Linked DNA regions of Stegostoma tigrinum. The protein of the gene in region 1 purifies or fractionates together with the protein of each later gene. This does not show direct contact. Links are inferred from orthologs where the notes say so. Each region holds a gene or a part of one and is shown on either strand. Other genes may lie near its edges.

Evidence for each region. Proteins that work in one complex are often made in the same cells at the same time.
Region 2: the proteins of ksr2 (region 1) and peptidyl-prolyl cis-trans isomerase FKBP5-like purify together in Homo sapiens (affinity purification with mass spectrometry; 3 studies listed by BioGRID and IntAct, with this or other methods). This does not show direct contact. The link is inferred for Stegostoma tigrinum from reciprocal best matches to the Homo sapiens genes KSR2 and FKBP5.

Annotation. Positions count from the first base shown.
Region 1 is NC_081379.1:34,739,214-34,746,821, reverse strand, and holds the start of ksr2 (kinase suppressor of Ras 2), read right to left. Parts: upstream 3,031-7,608; 5' UTR 2,811-3,030; coding exon 2,634-2,810; intron 1-2,633. UniProt on the Homo sapiens protein: Location-regulated scaffold connecting MEK to RAF. Has very low protein kinase activity and can phosphorylate MAP2K1 at several Ser and Thr residues with very low efficiency (in vitro).
Region 2 is NC_081374.1:42,890,162-42,897,755, forward strand, and holds the start of peptidyl-prolyl cis-trans isomerase FKBP5-like, read right to left. Parts: upstream 3,029-7,594; 5' UTR 2,807-3,028; coding exon 2,696-2,806; intron 1-2,695. UniProt on the Homo sapiens protein: Immunophilin protein with PPIase and co-chaperone activities. Component of unligated steroid receptors heterocomplexes through interaction with heat-shock protein 90 (HSP90).

The sequences.
Region 1 (7,608 bases):
ACACATTAATTATAATTTTGATCTGCATGTCCACCTATCCATAAGAATGATAGCACTTCGTTGGCACTAATTCTATGTGGCCCTGCAAGCCACATGAAAATAGCCAGTTAGGACCCAATTTTACACCTGACACTGGAAATCTTAGAAGGATGCAAAACAATGCTCTTAGAACATCTTAAAATGATGGCAATATTTAAAGCTCTGTGATCGGGCTGTCGTGCTAATTTATCGTAGAGTAGCTCTCTATTGCAATTTGACATTCTTTAAAGGTTGTATGCCATTGGAACTGTGACAGGACGTAGCCTTATTGCATCATTTTAACTCACATACATATCTGCCTGATACGAGGTTGGGAACTTCGGCTACAAAGTTTTTTTTAAAAAAGCGTGGGCAACACAACTTGCTTCTAACCGCATTTTATTACACATTCAAGCCTTAAGGGAAGGCTCTCACAGTCGAGGTTCGAAGTAACGAGCAGCAAATGCTTTAATTTGCATGTGGAAAATTGTTACATACTCCACGTTTTAGGTCAACTACCATTAATTCCTGAACTTTCTCATCGCTTCTGCTACTGTTGACCAAAAGTGGAAATAAAAAGATTGCTGACTGTTTAGCGAACAGTTTCAAAACTACCCCAACCTTAACAGCTCATTTTCAACACTGAAAACAATAGAAGCTACTAGCGATCACAGTGGGTCAGGTAGCATCCATGGAGAGAAAGCAAGCTGACGTTCCGACACTAGATGAGTCTTCAGAGCTGAAGAAGTGATGTCGACTCAAAACGTCAACCTGCTCTCTAACGGCTGCCTGACCCGCTGTGATCTCCAGCATTTTTGGTTTCAGTTCAGATTCCAGTATCTGCAGTAATTTGCTCCTAGCTCATCAACAATAGTTCAGCAAAATACTTTTCACCTGTTACTGTTTTCTGAAATATAAAGATGATATTTCCAGATGTATTTGTACTGATATAAGACTATGATAATTTAAGATTAATGAGGGGTCCAATACAAGATTTGGTAAGCTTAATTTTCAAATACACTGCATTTTTAAGACAACAAATCCAAGTCTAACAAGGTATTTTCTTTCAACGAAATCTAACGTGGAAAAATAGCGTTTCTAATTGCTTTGTAACACCTGATATTAAATATATGAATTTATCAATCAGAAAAATAATTATTTAGGTTTAAGGTACGAAACAAGTTATCAATTTCTGGTCAGTCATGTTCCCGTCCTTCGGGTAAGAGGTGTAACAGGAACAGTTCAAGTCAATTAATGCCTATCGCCTTCCACAGGTTAGTTCAGATAGTTAATTTTGCAGATTATTACAATGAAATTGCTTTCAAGTCATGACGCGCTATCCAGGATTTCATTCGGACGGTTGTGCCCAGAAGCTCAATGCTGTTTTGCAGCTTCTTCAGGATGCAGGGTGAACGGTAGGTGTCGCCAGTCAAACGAGGAGCCAGGCGTTGTGTTAACCTCTGCGTACCTTGGGAAACTTCAACATCCAGACTGATGCACTTTCTGGAATTACGTTTAACGCTACCGTTGCTTTGTTGCTATCAAGTACCTTTCTCCAGCATGACAAAGCGCAGAAATGTATGCCCAGAAATGTAGCACTGCTGGAAATACTGTAAAGCAATCCGCGTCAAATATTGGTGCAGGCTTCAGGAACATGCAATCTGCAATATTATATGTAGTCCCCAAGATAATGCGAGTGAGAACATCAATACGCTGGTCTGAAAATAAAACGTTAATTTCCATTCCAGGTGCTACCTGCATGTCTGTATTTCGAGAATAATCATTTGTAGAAAGCCTAAAGTTAATCTTTAAACCGGTCTTTAGAATGAAAATCGTGTATTTTTAATGAGAATTTTGAAGCATTTCAGTTCACAACTTAAAACGAGCATAAACTTGAACCGACCATTATGATTCAGAAGTACAGAAATAAGTCAGACTTTAACAGCGCAGTCATTTGAATCCCTGTGAAGTTAAGAGCCGAAAAATTCCCCACCTACGGAGGCACCATCAGTGTGACTGGTCCTAGACACGATGTGTATTAGATATGGAAAGACGTCAGGGAGCTAACATCTCTATCCGTTAATGACAGGTCCGTAAACGGACAAGGAGCCCCATAAATATCTTACCATATATAATTCATTATGGCCATGTAACGCTTTGCAATTCATACTGAGCCGCACGTAGATAATAAGTGTCAGTTCTCTTAAATCAGCGTCTTTATTATTCAGCTGGTATCACATCCTTATCAAGAACCATCGATGCAAAACATGCAACTCAGGATTTCTCGAAATGTCATGTATTCAGTTATTTCCAAATGAGCGTAAATAAATAAATGAATAATCCCAACATTTTTAACACAGAACCCACCACCTTTCCACCACCTGCAGAATGCGCAGACTCGCTTCATTCTGCTGCAGCTCCTTAATTTATAACACTGCAAACACCATTGTATATAAACAAAATACAGCAGTCACCTAAAACGCATGCAGCCTTCTTTAGATATCAAGCTTACATCATTTTATTTAAAATTCAATGCGGATACAAGCAAATTTGGGGGGTGGGGGTGAAGAGGAGGGGGGAATATGTCAATTCATTGTTATCGTTATTTTCCTTACCTCCAGCGTTCTTATTTCTTTTTGCGTGAGGTCATTTGATGTGGCACATTTAGTCCTTAACCCTTCCAGACTTGAGATGCTGATGTCTATCATATTTTGGACCAATTCACATTGCTGTAATGCTTTCTGCAAAGTTAGCTGCTGTTCTTCGCTCTTTGCCGTATTGTCTTCATCCATGGCTGGAAATCAATTGAAATTGAGAAAAAGAAATATTTTATTATAGAGCAGCAATGTTGAATAATAAATCTTGAATGGATTGAAGATGTGTTTCAAATTGGCTCCATGCGGCTGGATAGAAACGGACTGGAGACAGTGGCCTTGCTCAATAAAACAGCTTGTGCTGCTGATGCTACGAAGAGCTGCGCGCTACTGCTGCAGGTGTTTTTTGTCGCCGTTCCCAACAGCTTGCACCGGGGAGCTCTTTCTCCACCGACATCTTGGTTGTCAATCAAAGGGAGGGAGGCAGTGCGCCAGCTCTCGCGAGATAGATGCGCGATTGAAATTGTTGCAAAAAGCTCTGAAAACAGCAGCAGAAGAAAGTTCACTGTCGGTGTAGGCTGTTGTTCACTTCAGTTCAATCTGCCACAATTTGCACCTTGACCACCAATGCAAAATTCTTCACTCGTAAAATATGCTGGCGGAGATTTCAATGTGTGGCCACATCACAATAAAAACCCAGCGACTAATGGAAATTTCTTGCCGCTTTTTGAGATTCGTTAGTACATTCTGCAACTGTTCTAAAATCAAAATATGTTCATGACGCTCACTAATGATAACTGAGAACGAACCGGTAGAATTTGAACTGAAAGGTGGCCATTCGAAAGGTGCGATTGACGCTATGCGAACGTTTATACTTAAATAAGGGGGAAGAGGGTTGTATTTCATTTCCCATCACCGTTGCTGTGGTGAAAGTTCAGAGCAGGGGCCTCTGATTACAAAGGTCTAGCCTGCTGCTGATTGCAAGAAAACTGAAATGTCCTCCTTCAAAAAGCATCAATTTAGAATCATGCTAGGCTTTCATTCTTTATTGTATTTAATTCTGATTAGCGTCAGTATTCAGTGCATCAAGTGGAAACTGCATTACATCAACACTAAGCATGTAATGTAAATGCATCCTACAATACTGAGAGACATAAATGATATTTATGACATAAATATATTTATAAATAATTATATATAATTTTATAATTGTATTTATACACAAGGTTTGAGTGAAACCCCGTTGGTATATATACCTACATAAATAATGAGACATAAATATCATTATGTGACATAATGTCATTTATGAGACAAATATAAGCATATTTGACTTTGGTTATAAGTGCAAAGTTATTGTGTACAAGTTTGAACTTAACAAACATCAAGTGAGATTAGAGGGTTTACTTTCCCTTTATCGTATTGGATACCTAGATCAGTAGTTGATGTTGTGTTCACTAACTATGTGATAAAAAAAGATAGCTGAGTGGGAACAAAGCAGAAATAAACTGTAAAAAAAATCCTAAAAAGTTTAGTTTTCAAACAGGAAATGCACAATAAGCCTAAATCGTAAGTATTGTTGCATTAACATCACAATTCAAAAATAGCAAATAGAAATTGAAATCAATATTGACTACTAAAAGGTCAGGGCGTAAATCTTAGTTCCAGTAATATGTCCCTTGTTTATCAATAATTTTTCTACTACTATGATATTTTTAGTGAACAAGGACAAACCTAAATAGTTATTTCTATAAATCAGGTTGCAAAACTGACTCGATCTGGAAGGACATCTATCATTTCTGTGTTTTATTAAGGTCCGTTTTTCAAAAGGATTTTTTATTAGATATTTGAACGCGACAAGTACCTTCCTAACATGTGCCATTGGTAGATTGGTGTTTATTCTGGCTATCCAAGTGTTTATTTTTGAAACCAAGACCAGATTTTTGCAGACTATTCCCTCTAATGGTTAAAATGTGTATTATTTGTCCATATTATAGAATGGACAAATAGTCTTCTTTCATTATAACTGTCTTAAGTTTTCAGTAATGAGATCACTTTATCACAATTTTTTTTTTACAGACTAGTGGGGTTGTGCTACTCTGCTACTATTTACAATAGTATACCCAATTTATTTTTAACCATAAACATTAAATATCTAGCCTTGTATGTCTTTATAACACACCATTGAAACTTATATGACATTCCTTACAATGGCAGAAGTTACATAGTTACATGGAATGGGTGCTTGGATGTGAAAGATGTCTGCATTTAGTCACTGAAAGAAATTAAAAACGGAATGTGCTGGAAATGTTGGAATCACAGATCGGTACTTATTTCCCATTTCTTGTTGAAATTAACCTCTGAGTGATTTGCAGTTTATTTCATAAAGTGTTTAACTAGTTAATGCAGGAGATCACTACCATAAATAACATTTATGAACTTGTTGGAATATTAGAAAGAAAATCAACAGCATAACAATCAATTTTGCTGATACTAGACTTAACTGTCAAGACTTTTAAAATTATAGACAAAATGAAAATTTGGTGAATTTAACTATTACTGATTAGTTTCCTTCACAAATTTCCTTACCAATTGTTGTTAAATAAGTAAATATGTTTCTTCCACATACTTCTAACATAAATAGATAAGCTGCACAAGTGTCACATAGTGTGGAGAATGATAAACTAATTCCACTTTCTACTATGAAATAATACACTTGATTTGTTTCAAATAGTCTGAGTAGTCTTCCTATGGTTGCTCTATTAGTTTTCTTGTTGCACTACATGTATCTTTTTCTCTTTCAAGTAAGCAGAGGAGATATATGACTTGGCTAGAACAGATAGTTTTATACAATTTTAGATTTATGCAGTGCCACATAGAGGTAAGTAAAGAAACACAGTCAATGTGGGGCAGTTTTTGTCTGCATGAGACAGAGCTCTGATGAAGGGTCTAGACCCGAAACATCAGCTTTTGTGCTCCTGAGATGCTGCTTGGCCTGCTGTGTTCATCCAGCTTCACACTTTATTATCTTGGATTCTCCAGCATCTGCAGTTCCCATTATCTATGTTTAGTTGGGAGCTTGGTGAAGCGTGGGGAAGAGGTCTTTTTATTACTTTTCACCCTACAGCAGTTGATTTCATAGTTTAAGCAGCACAAATGAGTAGAATTGTAAGTATTGTATTGTTTTGTCACTGTTTGCAAAGTTTACTGGCAGGGTTAATACTTTTTAGGAGATTAGATTAGATTCCCTACAGTGTGGAAGCAGGCCCTTCGGCCCAACAAGTCCACACCGCCACTTGAAGCATCCCATCGAGACGCATCCCCATATAACCCACACTCCCTTGAACACTACGGGCAATTTAGCATGGCCAATCCACCTAGCCTGCACATCTTTGGACTGTGGGAGGAAACCGGAGCACCCGGAGGAAACCCACGCAGACACGGGGAGAATTATAATGTCTTAATTATAAATGAGTTAATTAGCAATCACTAATTAACTAACACTTTAGATGTGGCAGAGCTAATGTTGTACTGTAATTGCAGAATACAAGGAACTTCTGAGTGCTAATACGATCCAGGGTTAACTCATCTGCAATAAGTGCTGTGGCTGCATGAACTTCAATTCAGTTATTGAGCTGGAAGGTGAGCTTCAGGCGCTGCATCATATCAGGGACAGGGAAAGTTCCTTGGATAGTTTATTCAAGAGGTGACCTTCTGATTAAGTCAGAAGTCAGGGACAGGACAGTGTGACTGAAAGTGAGGCAGGTAAGGGACCTGGTGAGCTGGAGTCTCAACCTTTGCCATTGTGTAACAGGTTTAGGGTTTTCTTAGCTATTTTTGAATGACGGAGGACAGCAGGATGAATGCATTAAATGGCTACAGCATCATGGTATAGGAAGCCATTTAAGAGAGGAGAAGAAAAATAACATAGTGATAGTTGAGGACAGGATACTGAAGGGTCATACACTTTTCTATGCAACAATGAGCATGACTGTCATTGACTGTATTTTCTGAAGTGCCAGGGTTCAAGATACCTGCTCTGGAGAAAAAAAATTACAGTGGGAGCGAGGATTTAGTAATCCTTTAGACTACTACTTGGCATAAGTAGAATTAAAAAGAGGTTCTGCTAAGGGAGTATGAGAAGTTAGATGCTAAATTACAAAGCAGAACTTTAAAGATGATAATATCTGGATTATTTCCCAAACCACATGAAAAGTAGCAAAAAATGAACAAAATTATAGAAGTGAATGTGTGACTCAAAGACTAGTGTGGAAACAATGGATTCCAGTCCATGGAACACTGCCACCAGTACTGGGGAAAAGTGGGATTTGTATTGCTAAGATGGTCCATACCTGGATCATGCTGGATCTGGTGTGCTCACATAACTAAGGATGTGAGGGCCAGGGCAGTGAGGGATCAGGCTTCGGTAAATGTAACAAATCAAGGGTAGAGTTGTGGCAGTTAAACAAAATAATAACCTCAAAAATCAAGGCAAGAATGGAGAAGGAGAGGGAAAACCCAATATTATACTTGTAGTTAGGACAAGGTGCTGCAAAGATAACAAAAAATCTAAATGTTCTATACTTGAATATGTGTAATAACAAATTAAATGAGTTGAGAGTGCACATTGAAGTGAATAAATATGATCTGAAAGCCACTTTGGAAATGTGGCTGCAGGTTGACAAGCATTGGTTTCAGATTATTGAAAATTACGGTATTCAAGAAGAATGCAATGTTACGCAGAAGTGTACTATTCCTAATCAAAGTATTGATTCAATTGTTAAAGATAGCTTTGGCTCAGGGGAATAGGTGTGGATTTGGTTTGGCTGAATCTGAGAAATATTAGGGAAAATAAGTCACTTGTGGGCTAATCTACAGATCCCCAAACAGTAACCACAATATAAGACAAAACATCCACGATGAAATATTGAGTGCTTGTGATTAGGGATGGCATTAATTATGATTGTTTTTAATCTATGTATAAATAGAAAAATCAAAC
Region 2 (7,594 bases), on another chromosome or scaffold:
GGACCAGTTGGACCGAATGGTCTGTTTCCACACTACGTCTCAATAGCTAAGAACATGACTATGATCTATTGCTCTGAAAGCATAACAAGAACAAAATCTGCATCAATCTTAAATATTGATAACATGTGGAGAAAAGTAATGTTCAAAAGGGATCATTTCTTTGAAAAGGACCACAACATTTCAAGCTGGAAGAGAGTTAAAGACAGTCAATGATGGAAATGTAAAATGAGTATGCAACTTTTATATAAAAGAAATGCTATATATATAAAACTGAACAGCAACTCAGAATGTACAATGAAAACAGCACAGCACTAAAAAAAAAGAATTGTTCAAGAAACTTTGAGAGAGCCACAGGAGGGGATTTTGCCCCACCACCACAGGAACTCAGACATACAAAACACAGAAATGAATCAGGTGCTGACTGGAAGTTACTCTGAAACTTTCGTTCGGCCTTAGTTGCAAACTTACCTCTGAGTTGGACAATCGAGGTTTCACTTCCCACCCCAGGATGTTATATTATGAATGCTGACTTTCAGTAGTAGTACCAGTGGAGTGAATCTCCAGACAGGATGCATTATTTCAAAGAGTGAGGGCAGGTGTCCCTCATGTTCAAGCAGGCATTTATCCCACAGTCAACACCTAAACTAGATTATCTAGTCATTATCGCATTGTTGGTTGTGAATGTTTGCGCTGTACAAATTGGCAATTGATTTTAATACATTGCTATAGTGAGACACACTCTTTCAAAATTGTTTTGGGACATTTTGAAGTCAGGGCAGGTGCAATTTGGAATGATTACCAGAACAACAATTAAATCTCATTAAATAACAATGGAAAGATGTCAGATGGACACATGAGCCATAAGTCATCACTAATCAGATTCACTTTGTCAGGCACAGGGCATACCTGAGTTTTGCAGGTTGATATTTGAGATGGTTAGTTAATTCAAGATGGAGAAAAAAAACATGTTTAAACTGATGATAAAACTCTACCTGGTATCAGCTTCACTCACTATACGATTATTGAACTGAGGTTCGAGAAAAACATACTGAGGCATTAAGACTGTTTATTCACTCAGATCCAGAATTACCCAAAACATGCCAGCACTCTTATTGAAAATAATCCTACTGGCATCAACAATCTTGGAATAACAGCAACAAATGAAACCTTGAATATTGACATCGGGGTAAAAACAGAAGTGAGATGAATTACTGAGAGAGCTAAATGGAGTACAAGGTACTGTGAAACCCAAAGGTAACACAATCGTGTCATCGTCGGTGAGACATCAAATCTCCACCACATTGACGTCTATAGGGAGGTAGGACTCAACAGCAACACTGAGCGACCCCAGCCGTAGAAGACACAGCGACCAAACAAATCTGTAAGTTCAACAGCTCCACTCTAACTGGTTTACTCTGTTCTCTCTGGTAATGTCAGCGTGCAACTCCTTCCTCCCCACAAATATCGCACTTCCCTGAACTGGCGCGCATCTCTGTGCTGTTCATGTGATGCGAGAAAGCCAGGGCTTTGAGAGCTGTAGCCGGAGTTCAAGAGGAAAGTCTGAGGATAGGCTGGGGTGGGAGGGGTGCCGGGGGCTAATGCTGGGGTTCACTTCAAAACAAAACTACTCTCTGGTTCCGCATCTGGACCTGCGATGACAGCTTGAATGCTGTACGTACATTAAAGGTCCTTCATCGTGCATACGCCCTGAAGTAAAAACAGAAATTGTTGGAAAGACTCAGCAGATCCGGCAGTATCTGTGGAGAGAGAAACAGAGTTAACGTTTCGGGTCCAGTGACCCTTCTTCAGAGCACTATGCATTAAATGGACAAAGTTGGAGTTTCAATTGGCGATCGGGAGTCCAGAGTAAACAGGAGGAGGCTCTGAGTGCAGTCTCCAAAGTGGGCTGGAAAGAGGTGAAAGGAGAGAGTGGCGGTTGGGACAGAAAAAAATTCGATGAACCGCTGACTCTGGCCAGAGAGCAATCTGCAGCGAATGTCAGTGTCATGAGGAATTGGGAATGGTTCCTGAGTGCAGACTGTACACACAGCTTCGCAAATGGGCCCGGGGACCTGCGACTGTCTTAAACAGTAGGGGCTGTTCGGAGCGGAATTAAATCAAAATAACATCGATCACCTCTAGTTCTCGTTTCACATTTCAGTAACACCCCAGACTTCGGTGAAACTTCCCGATTGTGATTGGCTGGAATGTCTCGGCTTTACGTTAACATAAAGCGGTCAGGGACACAACGGAGTGGGCATTCAATAGTTTATGGAGAAAGAAATTGTAAACATGGAGTTTAAAAAAATCTACATTTGATCTATTTGACATACAGAATGTGCCAATCAGAGTGGGTTTAGTCACACGAAGCGGGTAGGCTATGTATAATATAAAAGGTCGTATTTAGTACGTTTCTGATCCAACCACAGCAGAAACAGTTTTTGAGATGGGACTAGCTAGACAACCACTGCTGCACTATTGAAACAAAATAGTTTATGACAGATAAAGTTACAATATAATGTGAATAAATAGTCTAGAATTTGCTTCATTTAATTTTTAGTCACTTTCTGAGACGGGCAGTCTAACTTTTATGTTAATTTTAAAATGAATGATGATTTTTCAATGAAAGCCATACATCTGAAAGTCCGACTCTCTCTCTCTCTCAATGTCCGGAGAAAATGCCTGTATTTGTTACCTTAAGCACCCCCCTGTCTTGGTTGGGTGTCAGGTCCTCGGCTATCTGGTCCAGTTCCGTAGCCTGGGCTTCTTGCTCAGTCTCTTTTAGTTCCTGACCCGTGGTCATCATTCAGCCAAAGCGTACGACTTACTGGTTTCCACGAACTGCTGCACCCTCAGCCTCTCTCTCTCTCTCTCAGCTCTATGGCCACTAGGAGACTGCTGGGCGTTGGTGTCGCTCCGCTTGCTTCCTGCAGAGCTCGGTGTCCGAGCCGCTTCCTTGTCGCTCTGCCTCCTCTCAGCGCCGCTCTCCGGGAGATATGGAGACAGCTCTATCCCAGCATTCGTGGCGCGGGTGAAAGTGGCCTATTCCTGTCCTGGTGCGGGGATAGCCGTCATGGGGCGAGGTCAGAGGAGGTGGGGCTTCCAACTGCTCAATGGGGATGGGGAGAAAGGGGGAGGTGTAGAGAGAGGGGGAGTCCCAGGGAAAGGGGGAATCCCAGCGAGAGAGAATTGCAAGAAAGGGAGTATCATTAGATGTATCATTGATGGGATCAAGAGATTACAATGAGCAAATAGGCAGTGAAATTCATGGAGGACACGGGTTGGCTTCCTGTGACAGACCTGAAGACACGTAAGCGCTGTCTCAAGTTGAGAGGAGATTTGTCTTAGAGCATTCCAAAAACAATGAACGACAAAGGTGATATGGATGATGTTACTGGTATGAAGCCCCATTTACTGCAAGTTCAAATCAAACAAACAGGAGCTCTGGCTGCATGGTTTTCTATTTGTAACAGCTCTCTGAGGTTAGGACCCAGACTCGAGTCGAAACCCATGTTTTAATGCAACGTGTTGAACGCCTGAGATAAAATAGAGAGTTCATAGAAGGCGAAAACAAAACTGAACCTATTTCGAACTAAATAGCTACAGGAGAGATCCGATAACAACCCATTAGGACGAATGATCGAAGGCTTTGCCAAAGAAGCAGCTTTCAAGTAGTGTCTTCAAATAAAGACTTGCATTTATGTAACATCATTCATGACCACCAGTTATCCCAAAACAGTCAATAAAATACTTTTGTAGTGAAGCCATTGTTGTAAAGTCGAAAGCATTGCAGACATCAAACTCACAATAAGAAGCAATATGATAATGAACAGACGGTACTGTGATGTTGGCATTTCTCTCTAACCTGATAAAAAAACAAAGCCATAATATACTGACTAAATCAGGCTAAGTGCATAGCTTGGCTTGAGTTCACATTTGTTCAGTATGACATCGTTTAGCATGCCTGGTCTGCACAGTGTGGGATGGGGTGGGGGGAGGGGTGGTGACTTTGGGGATTTGGGGGGTTTGAATTAATTGTCACATAAACTCACATATGTTGAAAGGCCGTTCAACTCACCCAGTTCATATTGACATCTACCTGCTAAGTAAAAATTAATCTTCATTTCATTTAATTCCACTAAATCCACTCGGTCAGAGCTGGTCCAACTTTAGTTAAGTCATTGGAATTCTATAAGAGCAACCTCTTCTGTAGAGGGATTGAAATTGTGGCCATAACACAGCAACACTACATTTTGCTTGGTAAATGTTTAATGCCTTCATTAAATAACTTGTGAAGGGTTAATATCAGAGATCCATGCAGGATTTCTCAAAAGCTAAGACAAGTTCAAATCCAAACAAGCTGGCTTGTTGCAAACTTGAATTGCAATGGTTACAGACAATAGGAAATGAAGTTGCCAATTGGCTAGTGCTACTAATGAGCAGCAGCAATTCCAAGTGAATACGGGAAACACAGCCTTTTGACACAGTATGATTTCAAAGCAACGTTAGTACAGATCAAAGACCCCAGAATGGGATAGTGGATTTGATTGACAGAATCGTTTGTAACCTTTGAGAAAGAGCAAGGGAATTCATTACCTGTGGTCCTTTGATAGACCATTAAATACTGAATTTCCCTATTCTGAATTAGAAATATTATGGAATACAGTTCTCAATTTCCTGAAACAATGTTAATAGTTTGCTTTCACCCTTTGCTCAGTGTAGCATTAAATGCAATGCAACAACAGCCTTTCAAATGGCTAATGGTAAACATCAAACAAATTAACCTGATTCCCGTTGGTAAAAATAAACAAAATTTGAAAGTTTAAAAACAGCCAGATTGTGCAAGCAGTTATGCATTGACTTTAATCAGACAAATCACAGGAAGTTCTTTCAGGACTTTTCTACCATAATTAGTCTGCACAAAGTGTGTTGTATTGTGGCCATGGAGATGTGTCATAACATGTCCAAATACGCTGATTAAAGTCATTGTAGAAGAGTTTAACTTTGCACTAAAAATGCTATACTTTAATTTCATTTAACGTGGTCTTGTGGGGCAGAGGTATTGTTCCCACGTCTCACTACACAAGTTATGGGTTCAAGCCCCACTTGCTGTCTCATAGCATGTTGATTTTCAAAAAAAAATTACCCATAGCCGAGATTTAGAAGAGCAAAGACATATTCTCTATATTTCAATCCTGGGGTTGTCAGGAGTCTTTACTTACATTTATAGGTACTTTGTCTATTCATTCACGGATATGGGAATCTGTGACTAAGCCAGCAGTTATTACCCATCCCTAATTGCCCTGAGGGAAGTTGAGGGTCATCCACATTGCTGTCAGTTTTGAATCACCTGTAGGCCAGACCAGGTAAGGACAATATATTTCCTTCCTTGAAGGACAGTAGTGATTCAAATGGGTTTTCTCCAACAATGTTTTCATGGTCGACATTAGAGTCTTAATTCTAGATTCTTCATTGAATTTAAATTCCATCATCTGTCATGGCAGGTTTTGAACCTGGGTCCCCAGAATATAAACTGAGTTTCTGGATTGATAATCTAGCCATAATACCACTAGGCCATTGCCTCCTTTTAATACTTAGGGAAACACGAGTATTACTTGTGGAAGCATGTTGGCGGAGGAGGCTAAAGACACTTCCATTGGAGAACAGCATTTTCAGTACCAAGCTATAACACCAGAGTCTTGAACAGTTTTTGTTTATGGACTCTTCCAGTAGCATCTGGAGGCATTTGCCACATTGGTCAGACAACGGCCTTGTCTGGCTCAGACAGTTTGTATCCTTCCGCCTAAGAAACAAAAAAAAAAGAGGGGAGTTTTCTTGTTCTACAGACTGGCATGGAACACATGGGCATACAGATCATGATTTGGAAAACCCTTTATGACAATCTCTCTATTTTGTTTGAAATGGATAGGCTTTCAGTTGATTCATATGCAGTTTGTTTGAGATGTCAGACACTTCCTGCTGCATGCAAAATCCAAAATCCAGGAAACTGTCATGTACTTAATAATTAATAGCTGATCCTTATGACTCAGTCGCCCCTGTGTGTGCATTGTGTAAATTCTTCACTAATGACAATGTGCTGTCTTGTTTTGAGCAATGCACAATGGTCAGTACAGTAAGCTATTGCAGTCAATTAAATCATTAATTTGTGCAGAAAATAGGTTGAAGCTTGTCATTTGGAACTGATCAGTTAGACAGGTATATGATGAGCAACAGTATGATTACAAATGTTGGTCACCCAGATTACAAAAGAGAAATTATTTCTTACATGTGGTGGGTAGCAAGCTAATGTATTGTTGCTGAGTGAGTAAAGAATGAGATATAGATCTGTTTCCTAAAATGAGAGAACAATTTAACATGTTAAATGTTTGTACGGGGACAAAAGGCATTGGAAAGATTCTGCAAAAAAGGGCCTCTGATATAAACGAGTCAGACTGACTCAAAGTCTGGAGCTCCACTGGTACTCAATATACCAAGCTTGGTCTTGAATTGAATTTTGGTGAGTTTTTAAAGAGGGAAGTGTGAGTTATGTCTCACACTGTCCTCAACCCCATAAAGCCACTGCTACTGATGGGACCCCTATATGGAGGTTCTTGAATCATTAAACTGACTTCTTCAGGAAGTGAGTACGCCAAACAGTATTAGGATTATAATCCTCAGAAGGATGCAGTGGGCCTCACAGAAGCAGCCTACACTGGCAGAAGCCATTACAGAGAAATCAGCACTGGAAGACCCTAGTAGAGGCTACCCATTTAAATTTAGTGCCCATTGGCCCATCAAGCTGACCATTGCAAAGGTTCTATGCTATAATTCTACATTTATTTGTTCTCATCTCAGTAGCTTGAAGGCAGCTGGTCCTTTTTTAAAAAAATCCTATCTTCTAGAGGAGATCGTTTCTTCTTCAGCTCAAGGTGAGTCAGGAGGTTGTGAGTTCAACTCTCATCCCGGAGATTTGAGTTTAAGGCTTTGGCTCAGGAAGTATAACACCGACAGCAATGCTGTCTTATTGCTGAGGCCCCATTTGACCTCTTAGTGGAACGTAAAGAAGAGTTTTGTAGGGATTCTGGTTTGCGATCAGTAATCTGTTGATTTTTAGGTGGTTCATATTACTGTCAGATCCTTGTTTCTGACACTGGACTTAGTTTGAGAATGTGAAATGAAGGCAGTCATCGGGCGTTTTAGGGGCAAAAAGAATCTCTGTGTTTATTAAATACAAAGGTTGAGTACATTATAAGAAATAAAAACACATAACAGTAAAATTAAAACTATCAACTATACAGAAAACAGTACTTAAATACACTATTAAATTAAACACAGGTTAAAAACTATTAGCAGCTAAACAGTAGTTTCAATCAGCCTTTCTATGCTTGTGGTTCCCTGCACTGTAACTATCCACCTTCCCCTCCCTACTAGATAGTTTGGATACTTTGGGGCCTCAAGAATATAAGCTCACCACTGGGGATAAATGCAGTTTTGAAACATAGCTGGCCATTGCTGCTTGCCTGTATCCAGTGCCTCAATGAAGACTTTGGATGGTGTAGGCCTACAGTTCGTGGATTGAGTCTGCTGATGTAGT